Pelodiscus sinensis: one gene and its partners. The protein of the gene in region 1 purifies or fractionates together with the protein of each later gene. This does not show direct contact. Links are inferred from orthologs where the notes say so. Each region holds a gene or a part of one and is shown on either strand. Other genes may lie near its edges.

Evidence for each region.
Region 2: the proteins of NOP2 (region 1) and SRPK2 purify together in Homo sapiens (affinity purification with mass spectrometry; 3 studies listed by BioGRID and IntAct, with this or other methods). This does not show direct contact. The link is inferred for Pelodiscus sinensis from reciprocal best matches to the Homo sapiens genes NOP2 and SRPK2.
Region 3: the proteins of NOP2 (region 1) and NIFK fractionate together in Homo sapiens (co-fractionation; 3 studies listed by BioGRID, with this or other methods). This does not show direct contact. The link is inferred for Pelodiscus sinensis from reciprocal best matches to the Homo sapiens genes NOP2 and NIFK.
Region 4: the proteins of NOP2 (region 1) and FTSJ3 fractionate together in Homo sapiens (co-fractionation; 3 studies listed by BioGRID and IntAct, with this or other methods). This does not show direct contact. The link is inferred for Pelodiscus sinensis from reciprocal best matches to the Homo sapiens genes NOP2 and FTSJ3.

Annotation. Positions count from the first base shown.
Region 1 is NC_134711.1:138,758,497-138,766,158, forward strand, and holds the start of NOP2 (28S rRNA (cytosine(4447)-C(5))-methyltransferase), read left to right. Parts: upstream 1-4,657; 5' UTR 4,658-4,768; intron 4,769-4,880; exon of another isoform or gene 4,881-5,034; intron 5,035-6,642; 5' UTR 6,643-6,649; coding exon 6,650-6,755; intron 6,756-6,912; coding exon 6,913-6,958; intron 6,959-7,123; coding exon 7,124-7,227; intron 7,228-7,662. Other genes in the region: CHD4 (chromodomain-helicase-DNA-binding protein 4), read left to right, coding at 3,010-3,027. UniProt on the Homo sapiens protein: S-adenosyl-L-methionine-dependent methyltransferase that specifically methylates the C(5) position of cytosine 4447 in 28S rRNA. Required for efficient rRNA processing and 60S ribosomal subunit biogenesis.
Region 2 is NC_134711.1:25,325,913-25,333,255, reverse strand, and holds the start of SRPK2 (SRSF protein kinase 2), read left to right. Parts: upstream 1-4,339; 5' UTR 4,340-4,527; coding exon 4,528-4,817; intron 4,818-7,343. UniProt on the Homo sapiens protein: Serine/arginine-rich protein-specific kinase which specifically phosphorylates its substrates at serine residues located in regions rich in arginine/serine dipeptides, known as RS domains and is involved in the phosphorylation of SR splicing factors and the regulation of splicing.
Region 3 is NC_134717.1:8,136,307-8,143,596, reverse strand, and holds the start of NIFK (MKI67 FHA domain-interacting nucleolar phosphoprotein), read left to right. Parts: upstream 1-4,282; 5' UTR 4,283-4,334; coding exon 4,335-4,445; intron 4,446-5,599; coding exon 5,600-5,728; intron 5,729-7,118; coding exon 7,119-7,227; intron 7,228-7,290. Other genes in the region: TSN (translin), read right to left, coding at 992-1,085, 1,258-1,323.
Region 4 is NW_027466048.1:919,303-927,294, reverse strand, and holds the start of FTSJ3 (pre-rRNA 2'-O-ribose RNA methyltransferase FTSJ3), read right to left. Parts: upstream 3,011-7,992; 5' UTR 2,852-3,010; intron 2,373-2,851; 5' UTR 2,298-2,372; coding exon 2,231-2,297; intron 1,878-2,230; coding exon 1,772-1,877; intron 1,033-1,771; coding exon 986-1,032; intron 825-985; coding exon 745-824; intron 411-744; coding exon 311-410; intron 1-310. Other genes in the region: PSMC5 (26S proteasome regulatory subunit 8), read left to right, coding at 3,227-3,310, 4,874-4,945, 5,608-5,677, 6,335-6,432, 7,039-7,095, 7,321-7,551.

The DNA of each region.
Region 1 (7,662 bases):
GAGGGGGGATGGGGAGGTGCTGGGAGAATGCTTGAAAGAAGGGGTGGGCATGAGGAAGGAGCAAGTCATGTGAGAGGATACAGAGGGGCATGAGGGGAATGGGGGCAGAGGATGGTGAGGGGGTGGGCATAAGGGAAAAGGAGGTGGGGGCAGTGAGGGAAGGGGGAGGCACCAGGAAGGTGCAGGGCTAAGGGAAGGTGCAGGTGCCAGAGGATTCTGGGTGTGAAGCAGAAGGGCAGACACCTGCAGGGGAGAGACCAGCACCAGAGGAGAGATGCAGGGCGGGTTTGTAGAGGGAGGTGTTAGAAGAGAGGATGAAGAGGGATAGCTCACATGATCAGAGTGGGGCTATTGGAGGAGTGGGCACAGGGAGGAGAGAAGGGCTGGTGGAGGGGGGTAGATCGCAGGAGGGCTGAGGGCAGTGAGAAGGGCAGGAGTCAGGACAGCAGAGGAGGGTGAGGAGTTGGGAGGCAGCAGGCACCAAGGGAGCTGATGGAACAAGGAGAGGAGACATGGCAGCAGAGAGAGACTGTAAAGGTTTAAAAATATTTATTAATAACTTGGGTGCCACAGTGGCACATCCAGACAAGCCACATGAACTCAGTACTGGTGCACAACACAATTCATTTTGCTCATGTGAGGAAACTTAGGCTATGTCTACACTGGCGGTTTCTTGTGCAAGAACATCTTGCGCAAGAGTTCTTGTGCAAGAACACGTCCACACTGCCATGTGCAAGCTGTGCTTTTGCACAAGAGCATCTATGGCAATGTGAACGCTCTCTTGCCCGAGAAAGTGCCGATGGCCATTTTAGCCACAGGGCTTTCTTGCACAAGAAATTCATGTTGCCTGTCTACACTGGCCTCTTGAGCAAGAACAGTTGCACAAAAGGTCTTATTCCTGAGTGGGAGCATCATAGTTCTTGTGCCAGAAGCCCTGATTTCATACATGAGAATGTCAGCGTACTTGCGCAAGAACACATGGCCAGTGTAGACAGGAAGCATGTTTTTGTGCAAGAGTGGCCACTTTGGCGCAACATCGCACCAGTGTGTAGACAGCCAAGGGGAGGGGGGCAGGGAATCAGTGCTGGCTCAGCATGTCTGCATGGTTTGGGGGAAGGTGCAGGGAAATTGAGCTCAGCTGGGTTGCAGAGTGGGGAGGTCCAGGAAGTTGGGCTGGGCTGCAGGGTGTGTGTGTGGCACGCTCAGAGCTCAGTTTGGCTGCAGGAGGATGGAGGTGCTGGGAACTGGGGCTAGACTCAAGTGGAGGGAGGGGCAGGGAATTGGTGCTTGGCTCAGCAGTTTTGCAGGGTTTGGGGGAGGTGCAGGGAAACAGGGCTCAGCAGTCCTGTGGGGGGAGGCATGCAGGGAACCAGTGCAGGGCTCAGCTGGGTTGAGGTGGATGGGGGAGGGCATACGGAACAGATGGGCAGCTCAGCTGGGCTGTGGGGGCTGCAGGGAACTGGTGCTGTGCTCCCTTGGATTGTGGGGGATGGTTTTGGGAGAGGTGCAGGGAACCAGCAGGGGTAGGCAGCTCAGTTGGGTTGCAGGGGATAGAGGTGCAAAGAAGCTTAGTGGGGAGGAGGGAGGGGCGGGAACCAGGAGCCCTGAAATGACCTCCCTGGTCCAAAAATCCCTCATCTGGGACCAGTCAGGTCCAGAGGGTGCCGGTTCAGAGAGATCCAATTCCTTCCCAAGTCCCCTCCTTGCACCCTCCCTCATAGCCAGACACCCTACCCCCAGTCTGCTCCTGCTTCCTCCCCCTGGTCAGACACCCTACATCCAGCCTGCTTCTGCACCCTACCTCCCACCCAGACCTTGCCCCCTTCTGCCCCCCCACCTCCCTCTCAGATCTTGCACCCCATCCCTATCCTGCTCCTTGGCAGCCCTGCCATCCACCCTAGCACCACCCTGTCCCTGGCCCCAACCCCCTGCCTCACACCCCAGGACTCAGCACCTCCCTGGCCCCAGCACCCTGCCATCCACGCTAGCACCCAGTAGCACCCTGCCAGTCACCCTAGTGCCCAGCAGAACCATGTCCCTGACTCCCGCCACCTGCCTGCCCCAGCACCCCGTCACCTGAGCCAGCATCCTTCCACCCAGCAGCACCCTTTCCCCAGCCCCAGCACCCACTTTCACTCTGTCCCCTGCTCCCACCAGCACATTTGGGACCACATTAGTGAGGCTTGGGGGTCTTTGGAGGGTTGTTGGGTTTTTAAAAATGAAGGCTGGCCAACAAACCCCCAATTGGGGCCAAATCCCCATCTCACTGCAGCATCATAACACTCCTGCACCACCTGACCCCAAATCTGAGCCTATCATACACTGGAACCCCCGGGCCTGAGCCTCTTACATCCCCAAACTCCTGCAGCCCCACATCCTTAGTCTTCTGCCACCACACTCCTGCACCATCACACATGGCAAATCTGTGTCCTGAGTCCCTCACATATCCAGCCCAAACCCCAGCACCCCCACATCCATAAGCCCATGGCTCACTCAGCACCCCAACCTTCCACCTGAACCCAACACTCCTGAGCCTGGAGCCCCCTCTCCGAGCCAACATCCCCTTCTCCTGCATCCAAATTCCCTCCCAGAGCTTGTACTTCTCACCCCTTCCCACACCCAAATCCCTCATTCCCACCCCAGACCTCTTGTCTCAACCTAGTGAGTGTGTAAGGGCTGGGGATGGCAAGTGATGGAGAGGAGGGGAACAAAGCAGATGAGGCCTCAAGGAACGGGGGTGGAGGTCTTGAGGAAGGAAATGTGATTTGCATGCATTTGGTGGGTCCCTTTTGCCACCCCTTTTTTTTTTTTTTCTTGACTAACCTAGGGGTTCCTTGAAATTCTGAAAAGGGTTCCTTGGCCAAATACAATTGGGAAACACTGCCCTAGTTGATAGAACTTTGCTTCACTCTAGTCTGCTCATTAGTAGGAGGGCATGTACCAGCTGGGTGGGTGCTTTTGGTAAAGGCTCCTAATGCATGTTTTTTCACCCCCCCTCTCCCCCCCCAGGTGGCCCAGCAGCAATGAGACCTTGGCTTGGTACTGTTGACTTCTCAACCAAGCTGAAATTATCCCTCTGCCTGATGTTCCTGAGAGGGTGCTGTTCCCCTTGGCGGACGTTGCTGCACAGGCCTCCCTGTGGGAGAGGAAACTCTGTGGCGCCAGCCTGCACCAGCTAGGAGCGTGCCAGGGCAAGAGGGGACATGACGGACTCTGTACATAGTGACTGGAGGCCACAGAGCCACGTCCTGTTACACAGAATCCTGGCTGCACTGCTCGCTGCTTCAGCCTGGAGTTCCATGTTTTGTTTTAATCTTATTTTGAGTTTGTTTACTGAGATGAGTGTACAGATGAGACCAAGCAAAAGCCAGGACAGAGACACAGCTACCTCCATCAAGATCGTTTTTAATACAAAAACTGACTGGACTTGTCCACTAATAAAACAGCTGAAAAGACCGGAAAAAATCTTGATAAAACTGAAAAATAAAGGTTTCCTTGTATTTTATTCTGCTGTCTGCAGTTAGCTGTGCCAAGTAACAGGGAGAGGAAATACTAGAGGATAAGTAAGCATGTCTGCTGGAAAGGCAGAAATGGTAGCACTATGGTAAGGCCTATCCTTTCGCATAAGCTTTGGCTTTGTGGAGCACTGAAGAGAAGTTATCCAATCCTTGCATGGGTGATGAGCTGCTACCTCCTCTCTAGTGGAGGTCTGTTCAACCTGAGCACTAGTTCAGGTCAATAAGCTGCCTGATTTTTTTTTTTTTGACTTATCAGCTGGTGGTAAGAAGCTATTCATACAGCTCAGCATTGGTAATGTCTAAACTGCAGTTAAAAACCTGTTGCTCTCCTAGGTTAGCAGATTCAGGCTAAGCCTGTTTCATTGCACTGTGGAGGGTTTGGCTGCTCTAGGAGGTAGGGAGGGAAGAGAGTGCCAAAGCTTAGCTTCCACACCACTGCAGCCTCAGTCAGGTGTCTCAGTGCAGTGTAGAACTGTCCAAAATGCCAGCAAGAAAATTGGCACAGAAAGCCTTGCACCTACATCCCTCTCTGGTTATTTTCATCCTAGTGTGTAAGAAACCGGGTGTAAGTCACATGCTGTTGTCAGTATAGGCCTAGCCAGCATCACCTTGGCTCTGTTTCTAACGTGGCTACATTTTTAGGTTAACTCCTTATCTTTCCAATGTGGGAACGGAAGGGGCTGTGTGCTGTGAGCTAGCTAAGGGCTACTTTGTGTGCACTCAGAGCAGCTGCGCGGCCAAACCGTGTGTGTGGCAGACACGCCTGCTACTCCTCCATTACACTTAAGGGGAGGAGCAGGCGCGAGTATCCACAGGCCGCTGTCATTGACTTTAGCGCTGCAGCCTGGGGAAAGCTGAGGGCTGCCTTTAAGCGAGCTTGTGCCATGATCGAACAGCGGGGGGGGGGGGCCCTGCCCGCCGGCCTGGTCTGTATCGCCCTGGGGCAGCTGTAAGCGCCGCTGCTGCGCTGCGTGGGGCTAAGCACAGCGCCTCCCCGCCGCTGCAGGGCCCGGGGCGCGCGCTAGTGCCCGGCCGAGCCCCTCTGGAACGGCTCGCGCTCGCCTCGGCCCCAAGCTGGACGGGCGGGGGGCCGCCGCCAGGGGCAGCGCGCGGGGCGGTGCGAAGAGCGGGAGGCAGGAGGCAGGAGGGGCGGTGCCTGGCCAATCGCAGCGCGGGGGGGGCTGAGCCTGCGCACTGCGAGGCGGAGCTGTCCCCGGAAGGAGCTGTCGGCGCGCACGTGGGGCCGGAAGGTAGGTGGCGGGCCGCGGCCTGGAGCCGGGCGGGTGAAGGCGGCAGCGGCGGCAGGAAGGGCGCGAGGCGCGGGCTGCGGGGGGGCGCTGCTAAGGGGGTCCCGGGGGGGCGAGCGGCGGTCTCAGAAACGCGCCGGGGGGGGGGGGGTAGGTCTCTGCCCCCTTCAGCGGGCTCGTTTGCCGCCTCCCTCCAGTCTCCCCGCACTGAAAAGCGGCTTCCCGGCCAAGTCCGAGCCAGGGTGCCCGCGTGTGGAGGGTGTTAAATGGTGAGAACTGGCGAGGCGAATAGCCCGTCCCTTTTGCACCGACCATTTGATTAGTCGATAGGGCGCCTTGGCCTTTGAAGTGTGGGGCTGTTGCTACCCGCAGAGGCAAAAGCCCCATGGGGAACACGGGGTCAACTGGGAACTTCCCCTCTTTGAAAATGCCACCTGCAGATTCGGGACATCCCAGCTGGCCGTGGGCTACATGCAGCGTTTCAAAGCAGCAGCGCTGTGTGGACCCCTGGGTCTGGCCCCAGGCTACAAGTGGTACTGCTGCTTTGAAGTACCCTCTTCTTCCCCTGCCCCTTCCTGCCTCTATCTGATAGAAGCAGCAAGGGGTGAGATGGGGGACGTGACTAGTCAACTATCCAAAATAAGCATTTGCTTATTGGATAGTCAACTAGTCCTTCACATCCCTATTTGTCATTGTATCATCTAGCGTTAAAATGGGAATGTAACATTGATACTTGTATGTCTGTGTACAGTCCATAAAGAAGTATAAATAAATAACTGTGGATTCTTAATTTATACTGACTTCACTAGTGATTTTATGTAGCCTGTTGTAAAACTAGGCAAATACCTAGATGAATTGAAGTATCCCCCAGGGAGAAACATAGCCCTGGTTGACAACCATTGTGTTAGACACAGAGGCAGGCAGGCTGAAGAATTGCTGCCCTAAAGCAGTAGTGGGGAACCCTTTGGGTTAGAGACCACTGAACCACAGAGACATCTGTCAGAGGCTGCACAAAAGTGAGAAACAAGGGGAAAAAACCACCTCATTGACATGGCCCCCAACTGAAAAGCAGAAAGACACTCTCCACATTCTGGGGCTAGTAGATTTTGAGGACTTCCCAGGCTCTGGGGTGGGGCCAAAAATGGGTTCAATGTGTGGGAAGCAGGCTTGGGATATGCTGTTTAGACAGGAGGGATGGTGTAGGAGTGGACTGGGGATTGATGCGACTGGGAAGGTGGTAGGGTGTAAGAATGGGCTGGGTGAGAAAGTGAGGTGCAGGAGCAGAGAGGAGTATGAGGTCTGGGCAGAAGATGGGGTGGGGTTCTGGGAAGGAGGTAGGGTGCAAGAGCGAAATAGGGTTGGAAGGGCTTGGCGATGGGTTCGCTTACTTACTGCAGCTCCCTGGGGATGCACATAGGGATGCGCCCGCTCCCTGCTGTTCCTATTGGCCACAGTTACGGCCAATCAGCCTGGTGGGGAAGAAGCCTTCAGTCAGTGCCTTGCTGCGCTGCCACTTCCTCCTTCCCCTCCCCTGCCCATCAGATAGAGTCTGTGGTTCAAATCCAGCCCTGGCTTGTCTGACTGCAACCCGTGAGGCTAAGCGCTCCCTCCACACAGGAGAAGCCGATGCTGGCACTCCAGCCCCATGGGGAGACCACTGGGCAGCCACAGGGCTGGAGCACAGATGCCAGCTCCCCAGTGCTGGCAGGGACCTTTGAGCCTCAGGAGCTGAATCAAGGCAAGCTGGGGGCCAGATCTAGCTCCCAGGCCTAACCCTACCCCTGCCTAAAGGAATCACCCCCTAGTTTGCAATGTGTGTGGAAGGAAGGTCTGTTCTGTTTGTTTTCCTCATTCTTCTTCCATTACTTACCCCACAGGGTGAACATGGGGCGCAAACTTGATGTACTGAGGAAGGAGAAACGTGGCCCGGGGCGCAAAGCCCGCAAACAGAAGGGAGCAGAGGTAGAATTAGCCAAATTTCTTCCCCCAAGTAAGTGTGTTTGTTTCTTTACCATTTTCTGCACTTCTCTCTCTACCCCCCACCTACATATACAATCACACCTGGATGGGCTCCTAAATAGGGACCTCATCCTGTTCTTTGTCCTTCTGGTACCAGTTCCTTGATTTTGTGTCATCTTTGTTTCTAGCTACTGATAGCAGTGGAAAAAAATTATCCAGCCATGCACGAAAAAGGTGAGTGTACAAGTACACCAGTGAATTCTGCTCTAAAGAGGATAAAATTCAGGACACTAGTTGCAATCTGGCAGGTCCAAGTCAGAGGGAGTTGTTAGGCTTTCTGGTGTAAAAGGGTTTATCAGTTCATTTATTCTTGTGTTCGTTTTTTCCATGTGTTTTCAGGGCTGCAAAGAGGCGAATGGGATCAGGAAAAGCCCAAGCAAGGAGGAATCTGCTTCAGCTAAAAAAGGCAACAGATGAGGGGGAGATGGATGGCACCAGCCTGGGTGTGTGTTTAACAAGTTGACTGCTCATTATTTCCCTAGTGGAAGAGTTCTGGTTGGTCTACGCTTTTTGCTCTAATTCTTCTCGGAGTGTTTTAATACCATTCTCCTCACTTTCATCCCCAGCTGTGAGCAGAGTAGGAGTCTGGCATAGCTTGTGTCCTATCAAAGAATGGACCTCTCTTTCTGCTTCCCTCACCTGACATCCAGCGTACTGTGGGCATCCTAGCTAGGGCTTCCAACGCATGCGTTGCACAGGACTAAGAAGGGACTTGGCTCAAATTAAATTTGTAAAACCTAAATGTTTAAAATTGCGTCTCTTCAGTAATCCTGGCCACTGGGACAGTATCAGACTCTTTTCTGCTTTCTATCCTGATTCTCCATAGTATACAGCTTCCAATGCAGCGGTCGCCATCCTGGACCTCAGGATGCACAATA
Region 2 (7,343 bases), about 110 Mb from region 1:
ACTGGTCCCGAACGAGGAAGTTTGCCAGACTAGGGGAGGTCAATGATTGCCCCCTTGCAACCTGCCTACCTGGCCCCTGACCCCGGCACAACTTCTAGTCCCACTGATACTGGCTCAGCAGGGCTCCCTGTCCCGGCAGGGCTCCTTGCCACCAGTCCCTCTGCTGCTGGGTTCTGGCTGGCCTCACAGCTGCCAGCTCCCTGCCACTGGCTTGGCAGGGCTCCTAACTACAGTAAACTTCCGATAATCCGGCACCTTTAGGACCTAGGGGGTGCCAGATTATCAGATATGCCGGACTATCAGAAGGGGGGGCTATGAGGGGTCTGGGGTGGGGTGGGCGGATGCTACCTCAGACCCCCTCATAGCCCTCCCTTCTGATAGTCCGGCTCTGCCCCAGGAGTCCCCGATTCAGCTGCTGCTGGTCAGTTTCAGCAGCGGCTGAATCTGGGGCGCCTGCAGCAGAGCAGCTGGGGTGCTGCTGGGTTGGTCAGGTAGCGCCGACCCTTGGCGCAGTGAGACCAACCCGTCAGCACCCCAGCTGCTCTTGGGGTCGCCTGGGGCAGAGCAGCTGTGGTGCTGACGGCTTGGTCCCGCAGCGCTGCTTCTCGGCGCTACTGGACCAACCCAGCAGCACCCCAGCTGCTCTGCCCCAGGTGTCCCCAAGTCAGCCGCTGCTGATACTGATCAGCGGCTGACTCCAGAAAGCCAGAGGCAGAGCTGCTCTGCCCCGGGCTTTCTGGAGTCAGCCCTGGTCAGTTTCAGCAGCGGCTGAATCAGGACGCCTGGGGCAGAGCAGCTGGAAGGCTGCTGGGTTGGTCCCACAGCACCGAGGAGCGGCGCTACTGGACCAACCCAGCAGCACCCCAGTTGCTCTGCCCCAGGTGTCCCCAAGTCAGCTGCTGCTGAAACTGACCAGCGGCTGATTCCAGTAAGCTGGGGCAGAGCAGCTCTGTCTCGGGCTTCCTGGAGTCAGCCGCTGGTCAATTTCAGCAGCGGCTGAATCCGGGACAGCTGGGGTGCTGCTGGGTTGGTCCCGCAGCCCCGAGGGGCAGCGCTACTGGACCTACCCGGCAGCACTCCAGCTGTTCTGTCCCCTGCTTCCCGGATTCAGTGCTGATCAGTTTTAGCACCGGCTGAATCGGGGAAGCTGGGGGCAGAGCAGCTCCAATGGTCCGGCTGCCCGGAGCACTTCCGGGTTCCTGATGGTGCCGGACCATCAGATGCCGGACCATTGGAGTTTTACTGTACTGGCCTCACTGCCACCAGCCCAGACCCCTCACTGCCACTGGCCCCTTGCCCCTGGACTCCCAGCTGCCAGGGCTCCCTGGTCCAGAAACATCCGTGGTCCTACCGGATCATGTATGATGATGCTGGACAGATTCCCGATTTGGAGAGGTTCAACATGTATGCAATTGGCAGCTGCAGTGATGACCCTCTGCCCACCCTCAAAAAGCAAATGCTGTATAGTACAGTACTGTGTTAAGCATAAACTACTAAAAAAAAGGGGGGAGGGAGTTAAAAAAATATTTGACAGGGAAAAAACTCTTTCTGTGCTCGATTTATTTAAACTACATTGTTCAAAAGCAGGATTTTTCTTCTGCATAGTAAAGTTTCAAAGTTGTATTGAGTCAATGTTCAGTGGTAAACTTTTGAAAGAACTACTATAATGTTTTGTTCAGAGTTACGAACATTTTAGAGTTACAAAAAACTTGCACTCCTGAGGTGTTTGTAATTCTGAGATTCTGTTATAGTGTTAGGTAGATGGAAGATTTTTTCCAGCCACCTAGCTATAGCCTTAGGAAGCCACCTTACACTGATGGGAGAACTCCTTTCTTTGGCATGAGTAATGTCTATACTGGAGTGCTACAGCGATGCAGCTGCAGCACATCAAATGTAGACAAGCCCAAAGTAAATTCCAGGTGGAGCGATTTTGATGGCTTTGACCAGCTACATCTAAGTATACTAGAATCGTATGTGTTGTCTCAGGTAGGTTATTCTGTGGCATGCAGGAGGAGCAGGGATGGGGCACTTTTGGAGGAGGGGGTGGAAAGTGTGTGGGAAGGAAACTGTGGATACTCACTGCCACCAGCCCAGAAAGGTTATTATTAAGCCAGAAAGAGGCTTATTAGGCCTCTGTGCATCAACACAGCTTAGACGAACACGATCTCTACTACTTGAGCTAAGAGTGATAGAAGTAGTCAGCTGTTGTCCTCCATGTGGAACAGCCACTAGAGGGGATTGAGAGACATTCTTTGCCAGTGGATTTTGCTTTTGTTTGATGATAGCAGAAGGATGTAGAGACATAGGACTTTTGGGTTCAATTCCAGGTTCTGTAGGGAATGGTAGTCTAATAGTACTAGATCCTTCTGCCCCTGCTTTCTACCTCCTTATCCTCAGGCTGACTTTGTCCCTCCTACCCCAGCTCCTGTCCCTGTCCCTATTGGCTCCTCTCCACCCTCTCACACCTTGTCTTCTGCCCTCCTCCATCTGTGCTTCTCTGTATCTCCTACACAGGTTCTAGTTTTTGTGCTTCTTTGGTCCTGTGTATTGCAGGTTCTGCTTTCCTTCCCGCTCTTTGCCCCCTTCACCCTGCTACTGCCCTTCATTACTTCTATCCAACTTTATGCCTCAGCTCTTCCCCTTCTTTTGCTGCATGTGACTGTTGCTCCTCCCAATTCTTCTCTCCCCTCTGTTGCCTGCAGCTCCTTCTCCTATGCTGCTTTCCACTTTGCATTTGCTCAGGTTGTTTCCTCCTTCTTACTGCCTGGAGACATCAGTGGTACATTGCGGGTGCATTTCATTTCTTATCATCTCTACCTTAGCAGCTGGGAAAGGTAATACAGGTCGGACCTCCCTGGTCTGTCACCCTCAGGACCTGCTCCCCTGTTGGCTGCCCCACTCCTGGGCTCCTGTCCTTGGGAATCCATGCCCTGCTGCTGGCTCCCTGAACACTGGTTATGCACGACTTCCTCCCCCTCCCACGCTGCCTGCCTGCTACCCCGGGGTCTGCCTGGCTTCTGATAGCTCTGCTGATGCGGGGTGTTCCCTGAGGTTTCCGGCTGGGGCCACCTGGTCACTGCTGGCCCTGCTTTTGGAGGCGGTTCCCCAGCCAGGCCACCCAGCTGCCCTGCCCCTCTGCTGCTGGGGATTCTGGCTACCTGCCTCCACCAGGTCCACTTCAGCCAGGCCCTGTTGGACCATGGATGTTGCCGGATCAAAGAATCCTGGAGTTGGGAGGTTCAACCTGTAGTTGGGAAAATTGTGCTCAATCCCTGAAACCCCACGATGAGTGTGCTCAATGTAGACATGGACTCTGGAAAATTTAGCTACCAAATTCTAATAGTTTTCTGTTGCGCATGTGTAAACTAAACCTTTTTGGAGGTTTATAAATTCGCCAAATTTGTGCAATTTGGGGAAAGTAAAATGACACGTCTCCATCAGCAGAGTGACTCCAACCCCCACCTTACTGCCTCTTACATTTCAAGACCTTGCTCCAAAAGCCTGGAAATGCTAGAGCTTCTCAATGAGATGGTTGTAAGATTTCTTTTTAACATGGGAAAAACATACTTTTCCTTAAAGTTAATGGCTGAACTTTTTTTCAGCTGAAAAATAAATGCAGCACCCTGAGGCATATCTCCGGAATGGGAAATTTGAGCCTGAATACTTAAAGTTTAGTAATGTTGTAAGCAATTGAAAATAGGGTCTTAGAATGGGAAGTGTCAGACAACATTAAATAGATTTAGTGCATCCAGCTCTGCTATAATATGATTTTAAAATTATAATCAGTCAACTTTATTATGTTAGTATCCTTTGGTTTTCATCTGAAACATTTAAGTAACAGAGCTTCTGGCTACATGATAATCTTAATTTATTTTTTAAAACCATCCATGTGTATTTGGTTTTGAGATCTCATGATATAGAAGTCGCAGTTGGTATGAGGCTATTTCTTTCTCTCCTCCCTTCTCCTCCTGTAACAGTAGTCTAGCAGTAAAATTGATCTGGCTCTCAATATTTCTGTTCTAGATGTCATTGTTAGGCCATTTCTCTTAGGACAAGTATTATGTATCAGCCCTGCTCTGTTAATGGGTTTTGCTGATCATTGGTTGTGAGCATTAGAAGGGGCAATTAAGGTATTAGGAATAAAAAATTGAAGGCAAATTTAAATGTTGGCATTCAAAGTATATTTGAAAGAGTACTGGTAATATCAGTTTAAGAAATTCAGACATTTGTATAGCCTGTCTGTGATTTCTGATCCATATACTAAAGTAGTGATTTAACACTTCATTCTTTGTGACAAAAATAATTCAAAGAGCCATATTTTTCAGGGCTTTTTAAAATGAAGGTTCTGAAGGGTAGTAAATACATTTAGGTAGCAAAGCTGCAAATAATTTACTCCCCAAACTATTTGTTTGATTTTTCTTAGAAGCTGGAATTTGTGCAGTGGTTTGTAAATTGTTATGATAAGAATCATCTAGTAAATATGTTAGCTCAACCTCAAAAGAGGAACCACCCCTCTGCTTAAAAGAAATGGTACTTCCTGCTTTCATAAACAGTCATGTGCATAGTTTAGCAAGGCCTGATGCCTCTGGAGCTTTTCCCTTTAGAGCACGGTTGAATCAGTCCTTACAGAAGTACTGTAATCTTGTGGCTTCATTCGGAACAAAAGGGATTAGGAAAAAAAATTATTTGATAATAAGACTTTGGAAAACAAGGGCAGGCAATCTTGGTTGTGAATATTTTTTGATTTTTCCAGAAATCAAGCAGAAGATTGAGCTGCTGATGTCAGTTAACTCTGAGAAGTCGTCCTCTTCAGAAAGGTACAGCTACATCTCTTGCTCGAAGAATTAATGGTGTGGCATTGTAAAGCAGCAGCATAGGGCATTTTTTCTTATCTGTTTGCTAATATTGTTGATGTATTGCATGCTGGTTATTGTAATGTATTGAATGACTCTGTTTTTGGCTAAGGTTTGTGTCTTTGCAAAGGGTTATTTATTTTTGTTTTTACTGAAGTCTAAACAGCAGCATGCAAATCGTAATACAGCAGACTACTGGTTTATGTATATTGTTGTTGCAGGCTGTGTTCTATTTTTTTGTTTTCACCCCAAAAGCATCTTGACTTCTAAATTCAGTTTCAAAAATTAGATTTTTTGTTTTGTATTAGAGGAAATAATTTTACTGTTACCAAGGTTGCTGTTAGATTTAGATTAGTAGAAAGTATCAGTGTGCTAAGCATTAAATATTCTGTTATGTTGAAAGGGAGTGTCCTTTCCAAATAGCTTAGGAATTGCAAACACACAAATTAGTCACATTCTGTAAAATAGATGTGATGCTTCTTCAAGTCTGTGCTAGGAAATAGAACAGTCACTGCATGCAGTAATAATGGTTCATGCCTGCAGGTAAGGACAAAATGACTCAGAAGTGTTTTTAGAACAATTATTTCATATGTCAATCAAATTATTATAAATAGTTGTTTGATTTTAAATAGATATTTTAAAACCTTATTTTTTATTTTTGACATTCAGATTTTTTATATGCAAATAGTTCTCTTAATGACTATTTCGGTGCTTTTAATAATCAAACCTGTTCACTTCTCTTTTTCTTGAGATTTTATTTTAATAGAAACTTGTGTTCAGAAAATTATTTAATCCGCGGACAACGCAAGATCAATTCAAATTAAAACATTATTTGAATTTAATCATTTAATGTGTGTAGCAGAACAGCTGAATATTATATACTTTGGAAATGAGTTACTAGAATTATAATTAGTAATATAATACACCTAAACAGGCCTTTTTTTAGCTGAAATGATATTACCTAAAATATAGATGAATGATGTTTGAACATAATAAAAATAATGGCAGTGCACTGGAAATTCAAGTTAAAAGAAGATAGGCTAAAATGAGAGAATGCTGTGAGGAGTGCATGGCTTTAAAAACAATACAAGCAGTTTAATTGGATTTATAAGTATAATGAGGGAAGACATGATTCTAAACCATGATATTGCTTTTCACTAGCTATAGCATGACAAAATATCAGAGCAATGAGAGAGATACAGAAAATGGTGGGGGGAGTGGGTTGTTAAGTCACCTTTCCAAAATGGAGAAATGTAAGAAAAGCTTTGGGTTGTTTTTGCACACATAAATTGAAAGTCATGAAAAAGGCTTAAGGATGTATAAGATGTTTTGTTTATCCATTCTCATGGATCTCAAAATTACATAGACTATAAATGTTAGGCCAAATAAATGGTGGTAATGATAGGAGAGAGGAGGATGATGGGGTGAAAGTAGTACAGGAAACAGGTGTTAACTGTGATTTTTTTTTTTAAGGCTTCTGTGAAGGGTACCCTGATGAAGTAGTGAATCCAGTTATATTTTAGCAGCTCAAATGCTATGGCAAAACTAGTGACTAATCGGAAGCTATTGTTGAACAAAATGTGATAAAATACAATACGATCTCTGGGAAGAAACAGTTGGCTAGTGGACATGGACCTGTCTTCCTAAAGTATTGCTATACATCATTAGAAAAGGAGGCAAGGATTTTAAAGATGCATTTTATGCTTACGAACCATTAACAATGCCCTTGATTAAAAAAATAAATTGCAAGTACATAGTCCATAAAGTTGCCTCATGGTTTTCAGTATTTTGAAGGGAAAAGGTAAATCTAAAAAGATCAAGAGATAAAAAACTGGATATTGTGTATGCACTATAAACTTTTTTACAATATTCATAGAGATTTTTGTGCATTGTGAGAATACTATTTTAGTGATTTGAGTTGCCATACATTAGTTACATAATTTATAGGGTCAGAAATCAGCAAATAAAGACTTTCACAAAGTCTGTCAGAGATGATTTTTCATTCTCTCTGTGAAATAACTACTTCTTTCCCTCAAATATAAAAATACATTCACTATATAGCAGGAAGCAATATTAAGTATCCTATTAACTTTCAGATCCTTCCATGACCTTCAAAAATTACAGTATTAAAAGCTGTTGGTGAAAGAAATCTGTATTGTCAAATAATGACATTAAACCATAAAAGAAATAGCATTCAAAGCGTACATGAAATTATCCTTAACTGTTGTGCACAGTCAGCATATATGGTATATAAAGAATGTTTATATCCAAACTTAATGTTTGGGCACACATTTATTCTTGCGTTGTGTTTTGTTTCCATTTTCATTTATGAATATGGGACTTCTCTGGTACTTTGAGTTCCCTGGTGGAAGATCTAAATTATAGTCTCTGATTTGGTCTCATGTTTTCCAGGCCAGGAGCAATAATAGAGGATGCTGGTCAGTTGTACCCTTAAGGGAAGAGAGGGAGAGAGGCTAGGATTTGTGTATT
Region 3 (7,290 bases), on another chromosome or scaffold:
CAAGGTCCCCCCACTCACCTGATTCACACAGACACATTGCTGGTTATTCCCTTTGTTAGGGAGCAAGGGGAAAGTGCAGTTGCTGCATTCCTCACTCTCACTCTCCATCAGAAGCAGCAACACAGGGTGCCAGGCAGATGCCAGTCCACAAGGGGAACCAGTTTAAAACCAGCTCCCCACATAGATGGGCTACTTGTGCCCCACGTTGCTGCCTTTGATGGAGAGTGAAGAATGCAGAAAACTATGCACTTTCTCCTTGTTCCCTGACAAAGGGAACAGCCAGCAATGTTCCGGGTGGGGATCTTCAGTCCCCTACCCTCCTTTAAGGATGCTGGGGGAAAAAAGGAGTAGAGAGGTGGAATGCCCCCAGCCAGCCCATTTCACCTGCCTGGTGTGTTTCTTTTTTCTGTACAGTTTTATGAGACGCAATCCCATTTCGGGCACATTCCATTTTCCTGACACAATGGGGGAAAAAAAAAAAAAAAAAAGAACTTACCCTGGTTTAAGTTAGCTATTAACTGAATTTGGCGATCCTAGCTCTCACTGTGCAGGAGGAAAGTGATAGAAATGTAGCCGTGTTAGTCTGGGGTAGCTGAAGCAAAATGCAGGACAATGTAGCACTTTAAAGACTAACAAGATGGTTTATTAGCTGATGAGCTTTCGTGGGCCAGACCCACTTCCTCAGATCAAATAGTGGAAGAAAGTAGTCACAACCAGTTCTTGAATAAACAGACTGACACACAGACTCACTCTCTTATATAGTAGAGAAAAGACGTGAAAAGTCTTATGGAAAAAAATTCCTCAGGTTACAGTGGCCAGGTGGAGAGCATGGTCAAGGAGAGGGGATGTGCTTCACACAACCTTGTATGGGGGTCTGACAGCGTCCCTGCCCCTTTGCAGCCTTAGGGGGTGAGCACTTGGGGCGGATGCCGCCTTGCGGCTGTGACGACAGCGCCCGATCCGTTCACGCCCCCAGACACGAGCCACTTACTGTCCTGAAATCCAGCTCCCTGGTGCACCCCCTGCAGCAGCGTCAAGATCTCCCGCGCCGTCTGCTCCAGGGTCTGAACCACCTTCCTGATCTCCTGCAAGCCGACAACACGTCAGGACACGAGGGGGGGGAAGGGACTCCCCCCGCCCCCCCCTCCCGCGCGTGCCTCGGAGCCCCCCAAGCCCCACCGGCCCCGCCCCGCCCCCCGCGTGCCTCGGAGCCCCCCAAGCCCCACCGGCCCCGCCCCGCCCGCGCCGGGCCCTGACCTCTCGGATGTCCTGGTCGGCGGTGAGGACCCCCTGCAGGGTGATGAACATCTCACTGACCGACATGGTGCGCTGCCGGGCCGGGCACGCGGGGCGCCGCCGCCCAGGGGCTGGGCCGCTCGCGACGCCGCTTCCCAACCGCCGCTCGGGGACCTTCCAACGCTCTCGGCGCAAGCTCTATGGCCGCGCGCGCGCACGCTGAGGCGGCTCCGGGGCCCTTCCACCTGCCCGGCGCACGGTAGCCCCCACCTCGTGCCTGTTCCCGCGACATCACCTCGGAAACCTGCCGCACTCAGCGCTGCCGCTGCCGCTGCCACCCACCGCCGGGCTTCCCCATGCCGGGCCGGGACCCCTGCTTCGGAGCTGGGGCTTCCACGGTGCGAGCGCAAGGGTGCCCTACTCGCTGCCTGGGCCGCCGCGCAGGGGTCCTTCTACACTCCCGGCGCAGAGCTGCCTCATTCACTTCCTGGCGCGCACGCCGCGGGAAACAAACCTTGGCCGCAGGCCGCGGGGGGGAGGGGGGGGCGCGCTTGACTGTGCGCAGGCGCAGTCCCTACTCCAGGCGATGCCCGGGAAAGCGGGGCCAGAACGGCTGCTTGGGACGAGTAACCCCTCCCCCACACCTGCCTGTGGGCTGGCATCGCCCCCCCCCAGGGTCTGCCCCCCCCCCCCCGCAGAGGTCCCATCAGCTCCTGGGAGAGAGAGACACACACACACAGCCCGTGGGGTCTCTCCCCCCCATGCCACACACAGCTGCTCAGAGACTCTGTTTGGAGGGGCGTGTTTCTGAAATCCTCCCCCTCCCCCGTGTGAGGGTGGGGCAGACAGAAGCCACGGGGATGGCTGACAAGTCTAGTTTCAGTGGATTTCTCCTCACCTCCCACTGCTAGACTGGGGAGGGGCAGAAAGATCATAGGACCTTTCTTCTTTGCCCCCTACTCAGGGTTGGGAGGCCAGCAACTTCTGGGTACTCTCTCCAATGTGCGCAGAAGTCGGGGAGCAGCATAGGACCTACTCGTATATGCCACAACCCACATCATTTTTTTACAGAACAAATTATGATTTATGTTACTATAGTGCTGAAGAGTTCTAGGCATGGACTACCCACATGTACTAGGTGCGGTACAAACCACAGTTTATGCCGAAGGCCCTTAAGAACAAGCCAGGCAACTCATGGATGAGACAGAAGGTGGACTATAAGTAAATTGGATGAAACTGGTCAGCATGATTAGCACATCAGCATCTGACAGTTGTCCGTAGTTTTGTAGGCATCAGGCAAAGAAAAGTTTTATTGAAGAAATTTGGTTATGGGCCTCCTTCTGTCCCCATTTAAGTCTATATGGGTATGACCCAGATCTTAAGACATATTTTACTCCTGGGGGAATACTGCAGAGCTGCTGGCTGCCACTGCAGGTCCCTGGACTCTAGAGCCCAGCTCTCCACCTTTCATCCGGTGAGGAGGGAGGCTCTGCACTCTGGCTACCCAGCTTGATCCTCATCCACCCAGGGATGGTGTTACCCCAGACAGAGTTCTCAAAGCTCTTGGTAACTTTACTTTGTGTGAGTTGGTGTAAAAAAATATAAATCAGTGGAGACCCAGCCACCAGTCCAATAAAGGGCTGGCACAAACAGTATTATACAAACATGCTCTAAGTAAAAGCTATACTTCATTTAATCTCAAGCATTTTAGACATCTGCAACAAGTTAGCAAAATAGCCTCAGTAATTATTGAAATTTGGTGTGGTACAGTTGCAGCCATCCAACTAGTCCATCTTTAAGCTGTCCTTGAGGGCTCTAAACTGAGTCCATGAATTGATCCCAAAGAGACCAAACCTCTCCCTCTTTATTTCACTTTGTGAGTAAACAAATTACTATCAATTTAAAAACTTGTTAAGCAAGCAGTTTCAAAAGCTAAGCAAGAGGTTTCCTGAAATTACTAATTAGCCAGAGGTATTCCTGCAGGGTTTGCATGCCCTGAGATGCTGACAGTCACATCTCAGAAGGGAAATAGATAAGCTTCTTATTTGTCTCCTAAAATATAGACCCCATCATGTTCAACTGACACTTCATCAAGAAGAGACACAGAATCAGGCAAAGGTATGCTGAGCAAGATGTTTAGTCCTCCTGGCTTAAATCTTGCTAAGTCTGCACAGCCCTGCAAAACAAACAAACAAAAAAAAACCCAAGTTTGGTTGCTGTTAGCAACAAGTATGATATTATACTATTGGTAGCAGTCTCTGACCTTTTACTGGTCTTTCAAAATCTCCCCATACAATGGGATAGGCCTGGGGATAGAGGGCTTCATTGCATCCCTTAGCAGGACTGTAGAGCCGTGGGAATAAAGGCTCTGAAGGGAGGTTCACTAGAGCTGGGGGAGGAGAAGCAGGTACCTTGACCAGGAGAGGGAAGAACACAGCCACCTCCAGCCTCCCCCCAATTGGAAGTGGGTTGTCACCCAGAGTTTCACTCTCTGCTCTTGGAGGAAAGTTTGTTGCTGCCTCTAATGTGACATACTTGTTCGTAGGTATTTTGAACAAAATAATGTAAACTGGAGTATTATAGCATGTTATTGTGACCAAATCTGCACAATTTTAAAACGTGCCCAGGATTGTTCATTTGAGGGGGCAGCATTCTCCTGGGAGCAGGCACCAAACTGGCTTGAGGTGCTGGTCTCTGGGGGCTTCTCTTGTCCTGCTCTGGGGCCTCCTTTGCAGACACTAGTTCCCTGGCACCCTGGCTCTCCAGGGAACAGCCCTCCCAGGGGCTTGCCTGGCTCCTGCCCAGCTCCATTCATGCCCCGGGTCCCGCACTTCCTCTCGGACCGCACCGAAACCAGGCCCCCGGGGAGGGGGACCCGGCTGTCTGGCCTGTGGCGGGGGGGGGGGGGGGGAGCGGCAGTGGCAGCTGTCCCAGCAGGCAAGCTCTGTCCGCCAGAGGTCGCTGTGGCCCTACGTCTGGGCCTGGCCGCTGAGCGGGCGGAAGCTGGCTGGGGGGAGAAGACACTTCCCGTGGCAGGGACCCGGAAGCGGAAGTGACGGGACCGCGCTCCCGGCGTGGGGGTAGGGTGAGCGCGCGGCATGGCGGCAGCGGGGTCCTCGGCCGCGCTCCCGCTCCTCTCTCTGGACCCGCAGCAGCAGCGCGAGTTCCAGGACAAGGTGCTGCGCGTCCGCGCCGGCCGGGCCGCCAAGGTGAGAGCCCGGGTCCCGCCTGCGGGGGGGCGGGGCTGCCGGCCGCGGAGCGCCCCCAACACGCGCGGGCCCCGATGGGCTCGTGGTGGGACTGAGAGACTCGCGCCCCGGGGGGGGGCCGCTCCCAGCTCGGAGGAAGGGCTTGGCGCGCGCCAGGGGGTCTTGGAGAGGACTCCGACCGGGAGGGGAGGGGAGCGGGGGGTGCTGGGTCCGGGACAAGGCTGTGACACGGGGCAGGAGTGCGGGGCTTTGGATTGGCATCTGGGGAAGGGGGTCGGGTTGCAGCGTCTGCCATAGGGATATAAAAGGTTAACTGGTTACCAGGGAAACATTAGCCTTCCCAGCATGCTTCCCTGATAACTGTAGGGCCGGGCCTGCCTGGAGCAAGTCCTCCCCTTCCTGAGCACAGCAGGGCTCACTGAAGCAAGCCTCCCTGCCTGCAGGACCCCAGGACTCCATGGTTAACTGGTTAAACATATTGTTTAACCAGTTAACTTTTTCATGGGTGTAGGAATGGGTGTGCAGGGGGTTTGAGTTATAACCTGGGGCATGGGCGCGGAAAGGGGAGCATTGGGTTGGGGTGCCACATGCAGGCTCTGGCCAGGAAGTGCTTACCTAAGCACAGCAAGTCCCTCAGGCAGGCTCCCTGCCTTCTACTCCCTTATATGCCGCTCGAAGTTGCTGGTCATGGGGGGCCATGTGCTTCTCTGACAGCCATGGGGAGGGGGGATATTTAACATGCTGCCTGCACTGTGGACATGGCTTATGCACTTCCCATTGGGTGGTTTATAGCCAATAGGAGCTGTGAGATTGTGCTGTGGGCAGAAGCAGCATGCAAAGCCTGTTCCCCTTCACCACCCCTCTCCCAGCTCCTGGCACTCAGAAGCACATGCCCCCTGCGACCAGCTGCTTTGAGTGGCATGTAGAGGTGGGGCAGGCAGGGAGCCTTCCCGTGGCTCCTACTGGACTGCAGGCAGGTTCCAGTGGCTTGGTGGATCAGATGCAGCCCACAGGCTGTAATTTGTCCACCCTTGAACTAGAAGTTACTGTACTGATTCCAAATTGGTGGTCTTTTGGCTCTTTGTGTTTAAGGTGGTAAATGCGCGTGAATATTCCTGTTTTTTTAATGTTACCCATTCTTTTCATATTCACAGCATGAGAAGCTGACTCCTGGTGTAATTTATTTAGGGCACATCCCTAGGGGCCTTTTTGAGCCACAACTCCAGGAGTACTTCAGCCAGTTTGGAACAGTCACCAGACTTCGAATTTCAAGAAGTAAAAAGGTAAGAATCTTAACTGATTGGAATTGTCTGGCTTCCTAATTGCAGTTATTGCTGACTTTTGCCTCCTCCCCTATTCTCCTATTTACTTACTTTCCCAATTAGAAGTAACTATTGGCCAGAGGTTATTGGTATACTGGTGGTCTCAGTTTTATTTTTTTATTACACTTTCCCTAAACTTAGTTCACGGGCCTGTTATTCCACATTGAGATGTAGGAAATAGTGGTCAAACTGAACTATGTTTTCTCCTAAATTCTTTTTGTCTCTCTATTGGTATGGATAACACCACCGTCGTCATAATTTTTGAGTCTCTGACCCTTGGATTAATCATTGGGACACCCTCTCAGTCCTTAATCTCACTCCTCCCCACATTGCTAGGGTGTTACCAAGTTCTGCAACTTGCACAACATTTCTAAAATCCAATTATTTGCTATCTCAAAGGCTAAAACACTTTTCTGTGTCTCTTTCTCCAATACTGATTGCTGCAACCTTCTCTCTGGCCTTCTTTGCCTTCAGTCCATCCAAAACCTGGTCTTTAAAGATCAGCTGCAATTTATACCAGGGTAAGAGAGAGCCTGAAAGAGTCCTGCTCTTGTGTTCCAATCATCTATTCTGGAAATGATGATAGACTCTCAGAACACACACAATTGTTTGCTCTACAGGAATTCAGGATCCTCACCCCAATTCCAAATCCTAAAGCCATTAATTGGTTTCACAAACTTTACCATCTGAGAAGCAGACTTTTACTTGGATGTTTATAATAAATGTCTTGTTCTAGAGGCTGATAAAACTTTGGTCGTAGTCTTTAAAACCTTTCAGTTACTGGTTTGAATCCAGATCTGGTAGTTAAGATAACTGTTTTTTGAAGTCCATAATTGACTTATAAGTAACAAGTTATTAGTTTTGTCCATTTTGTAGTGTAGAAATATCACTTAGGGTGGAATCCCTGTTGACAGTATCAAAAGAGGGAAAAATAACTGGCCATTTTATGCTATGGCAAAAGGTGCTTATTCCAGAAAAGGATTGAGACAAATAGGTGCTGTGAGGAAATTTCCCCTACTTCTGTAGATAAACAGAGGCCCCACTCTACTACTCTTAATCTAGTCCCTTTCATCAGAACTAAACATACATAAATGAGAAATTTTATCAGAGTAGTCTAAATCCAGTGTAGAATTCTGAATGAATATAACAGGAGGGACAGTGCATTTTGTGTGTCACAGACTAAGTCTGCCCTAAGACATACATGTGTAATGCTTACCTAGTTTACTGTGAATTGTATATTATAATCTGAGAACAGAATATGACCCTTGCAGCCTGAAAAAACAATCTAGTGTAATTCTTAGACATTATGTGTAAACATAATCTAGATTTCTGATACCATTGTCATTCGCAGACTGGAAACAGCAAAGGCTATGGATTTGTAGAGTTTGAATCAGATGAAGTCGCTAAGATTGTAGCAGATACCATGAACAACTACCTATTCTGTGAAAGACTCCTAAAGTGTGAGTATATGGGACACTGGTGAGCTAGGGAAATATGGACATGTGAACGTATTGTTTCCTGGG
Region 4 (7,992 bases), on another chromosome or scaffold:
ACTCAGCCCTGGGTCTGCTGAGACAACCCCCCAGAGACGCCCTCTGTGCAGCAGGTCGTGCTCCTTTCCCTCCCCTGGGGTTTCCGACCCTCCACCTGCCACTGTGCCCCGAGCGGGTGAGCCATGCCAGGGCCCCGATCCCTCGGAGTGGGCTGACCCCGCGGACCCAGTGCTGCTGCCCCGGAGGCCAGGGATAATGGAACACAGGACTGTGGAGCTGGACTCTGCCTGCGCGGCACCAGGGGCGTGGGATGGGCAAGAGTCCTCGGCCATCGCAGGGGCCGGGCTGCCAGCAGAGCAAGGGACGTACCTTGGGAGTAGGCGTCGTGCACCCAGCTGGCCCCCACGTTGGGAGCCCCGTCATTTAGCACCACGTCCACCTTCCACGTCTGCAGCTCCTTGCGCAGGGCCTGGGCAAGGGCAGGGGGTGAGCCTGGGACGCCCTCTCTGCCTGCCAGCCCCCCTCACGTGCCCCGCAGCGGGGGGAGGGTGTGTAGCGAGCCTGCAGCCCCTCCCCCCAGCCAGGCCTCTCCACTGAGACCCAGGCTCCCTGCCTCTAGAATCCACAGCCCAGAACCGAGCAGTGAGACGCCCCCAAGTTTCGTACCCTCCGTGGAGTCGGGGGAGGTGGCCTGGAGGGTGGGTGGACATGATGCGCCCTTCCCCCAGGCAGGGCCGAGGGAGATGCACCAGAGCACCTGGCTGTCGGGGTTTAGCAGGCGTGGGGGGCAGGGCAGGAATTACCTGGCGACACTTCTCCGTGGTGATGTCCTCCTGCAGCGTCACCACGTTGGGGATGGGCTTAATGGGGACCAAATCCACCCCTAGGAGAGAAAGACTGAGCATCTGCTGGACCCCCTCCCCATGGGGGCATCCCCCCCCGAGGGACAGTGTCCAACCAACCAGCCCCACAGCAACTGTCCTGTCTCACAGGCCCAGCCCCGCGGAGTCCCGGCCTGCCCCCCCGCAGGCTTCCATCACTCACCAACGATGAGGCTGGAAACGGGCATGAACTTGGAGGCCACCTGCAGCCTGCGGAGAGGAGAAAGGCCTTAGCTCCCCACCTCACCCCCTCCCTGCCCCACAACGCCCTCCCTTGTCGCAGCCTCCAGGGGGCTGATGGGAGAAAGCCAGGCCACGCTGGGCTCCAGAGCCACTTCCTGGCACTCACCCTTGGAATCACCCTGCCCCAGGCTGGTCCGAGACGGGCTGAGCCGTGGGGATGGAGGCTCTGCCCTCATCTTTCCTGGCTGAGGCCTTGTATGGAGGAGTTAGACTGGGGCTGCTCCCTGGGGCTGCAGCCTACAGGCGGGCGATACACCAGCAGCAGCTCCAGGACTAGCACCCCTCTCACCAGCAGCTGCTGGCTTTCGAAGCCGCCCGCTACAGAGCAGTACCCAGGGCTTGGGGCGGGGCGGGGCAGCACAGGCCTCCTTGGAGTCCAGCACATACAGCAAGTTGGTCCCTGGCGGCAGCAGCCTGTTCGCCAGCCCTGGGAGGAGGCAGCTGTTGGACAGCGCCTGTCCCTGTCCCAAAGCCATGGGGATGCGGCCACCAGCTCACTTGCCCCAGAGGCAGTCGGCTAGCTGCCGACGGAGCCCAGGACGCAATCTGACCTCACTGGCCAGGGGCTCTGGCCCTCCCCAGGGCCCAGCTAGCCGGGTGCAAGCGAGCAGGCTGGAGCTGCATCAAGCCAGGCAGGGTGTTCCTGCCTCTGGCACCCAGAGGTAACTGCTGGGTTCTGATGATGCAGTCGTGGCTGGTCACTCACCAGCCGCCGGGGGCTGCGCACAAGTCCAGCAGCGCGCGGGATTTCGGCAGGAACTGGAACTTGCGATTGAGCTGAATCAGCTTGAAGGAGGATCGTGAGCGAAACCCTAAAGAGAGGAAGGGTCACAGCTTTACGGTGTCTGGGTGGGCCCAGCTGTCCCTGTCCATGCTCACCCACCTCTCTACCTTCAACTGGCGCCAGCCCCTGCCCTGGGGAAGCTGGCAGTGGCTCCGGCACCCGGCCAGAGCAATGGGGGGAGGAGGCGAGAGGGGCTGAGACCCCTGGGTGCCCATCACCCGCTCCTCAGCAGTTGCAGCAGGGCAGGCACGAGGAGACAGGCAGACTGAGCGGCGATGGGGAGAACAGCCCGGCCCTGCTGGGGGTCACGGCCCCGCAGAGGCAGGATGTGGGGGCTGGTGGGCACAGCCGCCTCCCGAACTCGCCGCCCGCCCCGCTCACCGGTCTCCTTGGCCAGGCGGTAGAACTTGTCCCGGCGGCTCTTCCCCACTTTGCCCTTCTTGCCCATGGCGGGGCCGGAGGAGCCCGGCGGCTCCGCTCGCTCCTCGGGGCCGGGCCCCGCGCTCCGCGCAGGCGGCGACCTCTGCACGGAAGGGAAGCGGCGGCGCCTCGAGTCACCCGGTCGGGGGGGCCAGGCCCAGGCCCCAACGGCCCCGCGGAACCAGCCGGGGGCCTCGGGCAGCCCCGCCCTACTCCAGTCCCCCCCACCGCCCCCTCTCGCCCCGCCCCCATCTACCCCCTCCCCCCCCTCTCGCCCCGCCCCCATCTACCCCCTCCCCCCCGCCGCCCCCTCTCGCCCCGCCCCCATCTACCCCCTCCCCCCCCGCCGCCCCCTCTCGCCCCGCCCCCATCTACCCCCTCCCCCCGCCGCCCTCTCGCCCCGCCCCCATCTACCCCCTCCCCCCCCGCCGCCCCCTCTCGCCCCGCCCCCATCTACCCCCTCCCCCCCGCCGCCCTCTCGCCCCGCCCCCATCTATCCCCGCCGCCCCCCCTCGTACCTCCGTCCTGCCCCCCCATGTACCCTCCCCCCACTCCCACCCTCGCCCCCCCAACCGCTCCTACCTGCCCCCCCGCGCCCGAAACGGGCCCCTGGCTCCCAGACCCGGCTGCTGGGTCCCTCGCACGCGCTCGAGCCAACGGCCCCCCACACTGCCCCGCGCTCACACTGACTTCCACTTCCGGTGCGACCGGACCGCGCCACCATCTTGTGAGTGGCGTCCAGGCGGGGCGGGGGAGCGTTCTCGCCCTACAGACCCTACCAAGATGGCGGCCACCTGACCCGCGGCCTTGTCACCACGCGTGCGCACTGCTGCCAGTGACGTGTTATTGGGACCGGCCATGCAGCCGCAGAAAGGAAATGACGACAGCGCGCTCCTACCGGGAAAGGGTAGCGGCGGCGGCCATCTTGGTTGTGGGCAGAGCGCGACGTTTGCCCATATGCGCCTGCGCAGTGCGCGGCCCCCAGATCCCGGTGCTGCTCCGATGCCGGCGGAGAAGATGGCGCTGGACGGGCCGGAGCAGGCGAGACCCGCGAGGGGGGGCGGCGCGGGGAGCGGGGGGGTCCCCTGGGCCGGGGTCTGCTGAGTCAGGCAGGGCCGCGGGGGGGCGGGGTGGGGGGTTGGGCGGGGGGAGGATAGAGGAGGGGGGAGGGCAGTGGGGGGCTGGGCGGGGGGAGGGTAGAGGAGGGGGGAGGGCAGTGGGGGGCTGGGCGGGGGGAGGGTAGAAGCGGGGGGAGGGCAGTGGGGGGCTGGGCGGGGGGAGGGTAGAGGAGGGGGGAGGGCAGTGGGGGGCTGGGCGGGGGGAGGGTAGAGGAGGGGGGAGGGCAGTGGGGGGCTGGGCGGGGGGAGGGTAGAAGCGGGGGGAGGGCAGTGGGGGGCTGGGCGGGGGGAGGGTAGAGGAGGGGGGAGGGCAGTGGGGGGCTGGGCGGGGGGAGGGTAGAGGAGGGGGGAGGGCAGTGGGGGGCTGGGCGGGGGGAGGGTAGAGGAGGGGGGAGGGCAGTGGGGGGCTGGGCGGGGGGAGGGTAGAAGCGGGGGGAGGGCAGTGGGGGGCTGGGCGGGGGGAGGGTAGAAGCGGGGGGAGGGCAGTGGGGGGCTGGGCGGGGGGAGGGTAGAGGAGGGGGGAGGGCAGTGGGGGGCTGGGCGGGGGGAGGGTAGAGGAGGGGGGAGGGCAGTGGGGGGCTGGGCGGGGGGAGGGTAGAGGAGGGGGGAGGGCAGTGGGGGGCTGGGCAGGGGGAGGGTAGAGGAGGGGGGAGGGCAGTGGGGGGCTGGGCGGGGGGAGGGTAGAGGCGGGGGGAGGGCAGTGGGGGGCTGGGCGGGGGGAGGGTAGAGGAGGGGGGAGGGCAGTGGGGGGCTGGGCGGGGGGAGGGTAGAGGCGGGGGGAGGGCAGTGGGGGGCTGGGCGGGGGGAGGGTAGAGGAGGGGGGAGGGCAGTGGGGGGCTGGGTGGGAGGTCCGGGCTGGGGGAGGGACAGAGGGCTCCGTTGCTGCAGATGCTGCTGCAGAGCCAAAGGGCTCCCCCCCCCCCCCCCGCAATGGGCCCCGCCCCCTTGGGGGGCTGCCCTGGATGGCAGTTCTGCTCCCCAGGCACGGGGCTGCCTCTCCCTCCTTTGGCCCCGGGGCGGGGGCCCCACCCTGACCCAGGCTCCCCAGAGTCTCCTGCCTGGGCCTTTCCCAGCGCTGCGCCGGCCTCAGGCTCTCGCGCCCGGCCCCTTGCCTGCGAGCCGAGCCGCTGGGCCCCCGGAGACTGGGGGGTCCGCAGAAGCGAACGGGCCCCGTGGCGCTGGCTCTCCTTGGAGCCTGGCGTCTCTCTGGCAGCTCCAGGCCCGGTTTCTGCAGAAGGAGCCGGTGGAGCCAAGGGCCTGTCCTGTGAGCCAGCACCGCCCCGGGCTCCGGCCGAGGCTCTCTGGGCAGCCTGGGGCTGCCTTCGCCTCAGATCAAGCCTGTGCAGACCCTGAGCTCCAGCCGGGACGTGGGGGCTCTGGGTTCCCGCTGCCAGCCAGCACAGACCTGGAACAGCGCCCTCCTCGGACTGTCGCGGCCCAGCCCAGCCTCTCCTGGGGCAGGGCCTGACCTGTGCTGTCTCTGCAGATGGAGATGGACGAAGGCAAAGGGGGGACAGGCCTCCGCCAGTACTATCTGTCCAAGATAGAGGAGCTGCAGGTGAGATGCCAGCCCCACGCGGCACATATGGGGCTTCTGGGCCACAGGGCTGGGGCCTGGGCCGGGCGCCATTTGTGCTAAGTGGCGGGTGGAGGCTGCCGGGCTGAGGCTCTGCCCTTTGGTTTGCGGCGGGGGGCCATCCCAGACGGCTTCCACGGGAGCCAGCTGCCTTCTCGGAGCATTGCCCGTCGGGGGCTGGAGTCTCGGGGCTCCCGGCAGGAGGGGCAGGCTGGGATCCAGGGATTGGCAGGCAGATGCAGGGCCCTCCTAGGGCGGCGTCTCCAGAGCCAGCAGATCCACTCCTCAGAGCAGAGCAGAGTCTGGTAACAGGCGGGCGAGGGGGTCGTGGCAGTGGTTTGCCGTGGCAGAGGCCTCTTGTCCAGGCGTCAGGGTTGCGGGTGGTACCCCAGCGCCTGCGGCAGGGACAAGTGACCCTTGGAAGGGGGGAGGGGAAGCTGTTCGCTGCCCCTTCTGGTGCTGGGCTGCTTTCCCCAGCGCTTCCTGCTGGAGGCGCTAGGGAGCAGCCTGGGCGCAATGGGCAGGCGGCGGAGCTGTGGCCTGGCTTTCCCAGGGAGGAGCCCACGCAGTCACTGGCGATTAGCCCGTGCTCGGCAGCCAGCCGCCCCTGAGCTGGGGGCTCAACCTTTCTCCTCTCCCCAAAGCTCATTGTGAACGAGAAGAGCCAGAACCTCCGGCGCTTGCAAGCGCAAAGGAACGAGCTGAACGCCAAAGGTAGGGCTCGTGCTGCCCTCCCCGCCTGCTGGGGGCCCCGCGCTCGGCTCCCCCTCCCCCCAGTCCTTCCCTCCTGGTTGCTGGGCGCCTGCCTCGGCCGTGGGCCCCGTGAGTGGCTCCCCCCAGTCTTCCCCTCTCAGCGGCTGGACGGCTGCCTCCCCCTCCCCCAGTCCTTCCCTCCTGGCTGCTGGGCGCCTGCCTCGGCCGTGGGCCCCGTGAGTGGCTCCCCCCAGTCCTCCCCTCTCAGCGGCTGGACGGCTGCCTCCCCCTCCCCCAGTCCTTCCCTCCTGGCTGTTCACCTTTCCTGCACTTGGCTCCCCTGAACTGGTGCGCTGAAAACGAGGAAGCCAAGTCCCCTCCCTAGGAGCCCGGCTGGGTGGGAAGGGAGCTGGTGAGGGGTGGCCAGCGGGAGGGTGAATTGTTCAAACCCCCACTGGGGGATTTCTTGAGTTCCTGCCGGTTTTAGCCTCTTCACTTGTACCCGGGGGAAGCCGGGTCCCCTTCCCCACACCAGGGCCTGGCAGGGAAGGAAGCCGGCGCTGACTCTGGGGCCCAGCCACTGTCCGCGTGGGTCCTGGTCGGAGCCCCACAAGGGCTGCTGTGGCTTTGCCCCGCGTGGCCTGGCCGGGCCATGGCTGACTCCTCCTTGTGCTGCAGTGCGCCTGCTGCGGGAGGAGCTGCAGCTGCTGCAGGAGCAGGGCTCCTACGTGGGCGAGGTGGTGAGGGCCATGGACAAGAAGAAGGTGCTTGTCAAGGTACGGTGCTGGGGCCTGCTGCTCGGGGCGGGGCCAAGGCCTGGCCTTGTGGGGCAGGTGGCCAGGCGCAGGCCTTCAGGGCAGTGCTGCCTTGCCTGGCTGCTCTGGGGTCACTCCCCTGTAGATCTGTGGGGCAGCTCGGAGGCGCCAGCGCCGGGGGAAGGGCTGTGGTGCCTGGTGCAGGCTCCCTCCCTGGGCAGGAGAGGGGTGAAGCCAAGGGCAAGGTGACTGGTCTTGTCCTGCTCAGCCGAGGGCTCCCCTCCCGGGGCGGGTGTTAGGAAAAGCTTGAGTAGGAGCAGCCCTTCTCCAAGCCCTCGGGGCCTCGCTGAGCTCACCCCTTCCCCCAACACCTGGGGAGCCCCGCACAGGCTGTGCCTTGCTGTCCTGGAGACCCTCAGTCCCTGGGCCTGGGAACCTCCAGGGGGCTGCAGAGGCCCGTTCTGGGGAACTGCCCCAGGCCCTAGCCCTGGCTGCAGAGAGCCCCACCAGCTACTGAGCAACCCCCAGGCCTTGGCTCTCCTGCGCGGCCTCGGCGGTGGGCAGGGGCTGGGCAGGGGGCGGGCGCTGCTCCGGCCCCACCCCACAGCTCTCTGCTCTCTGTTCCAGGTTCACCCGGAAGGGAAGTTTGTGGTGGATGTTGATAAAAACATTGACATCAATGACGTGAGTACCAGGCCCCTCGGTGAACCCGGGGCTGGGCCGGCTTGGCAGCAGCTGCCTCCCCTCGTGCCCGTCCTCACGGGCCGGCCGGGGACAGCAGAGGGCGAGGCTCCTTCGGAACAGCTGCTGCTGGCGCCGCGCCAGGCTGGGGCCCAGCAGGCGGCTCCCCCCCGCCGGTGCTGAGGCGAGTGGGGCCGTGCGGCAAGTTCCTGCCCCTCGTCTCCACAGGTGACCCCCAACTGCCGCGTGGCGCTGAGGAACGACAGCTACACCCTGCACAAAATCCTGCCCAACAAAGTGGACCCGCTGGTGTCCCTGATGATGGTCGAGAAGGTCCCGGACTCCACCTACGAGATGATTGGCGGCCTGGACAAGCAGATCAAGGAGATCAAGGAAGTGATCGAGCTGCCCGTCAAGCACCCGGAGCTCTTTGAGGCCCTGGGGATAGCCCAGCCCAAGGCAAGCCCCTCCAGGCCAGGGAGGCACCCACCCGTGTCCTGCCAGAGACTCCCCCCCAGCTCCCAGGAAGTGGGGGAGGGACCAGCTGGCGCTGCCAGCCTGGAGCACGGCCAGTCACTCTCCCCTGCCACGTGCTCCAGTCTCTGGCTGTGCGGGGGAGGGAGGAGTCGTCACTCCCGTCCCGGGCGCTGGGATCCCAGTGCCTGCTCTAGCCCCGTCCTGCAGTGCCGGCTGGGGGAGGGACTCAGTCATCCCAGAGGCCTCAGCTGTGCCAAGACCCTGGCCCAGTGCAGCTCGCCCCCTGCTGGCAGCAAGGCCAGGACCGAAAGCGGGCGCCTGGGCATCCTGCTGTCCCAGCCCGTCCTGGGGGTGGCGGCTCCTTGTCCATGCTGGGGTGGGGAAGGGCGAATCTCAGGGAATGCAGCAGCCTCACCCTCCCTG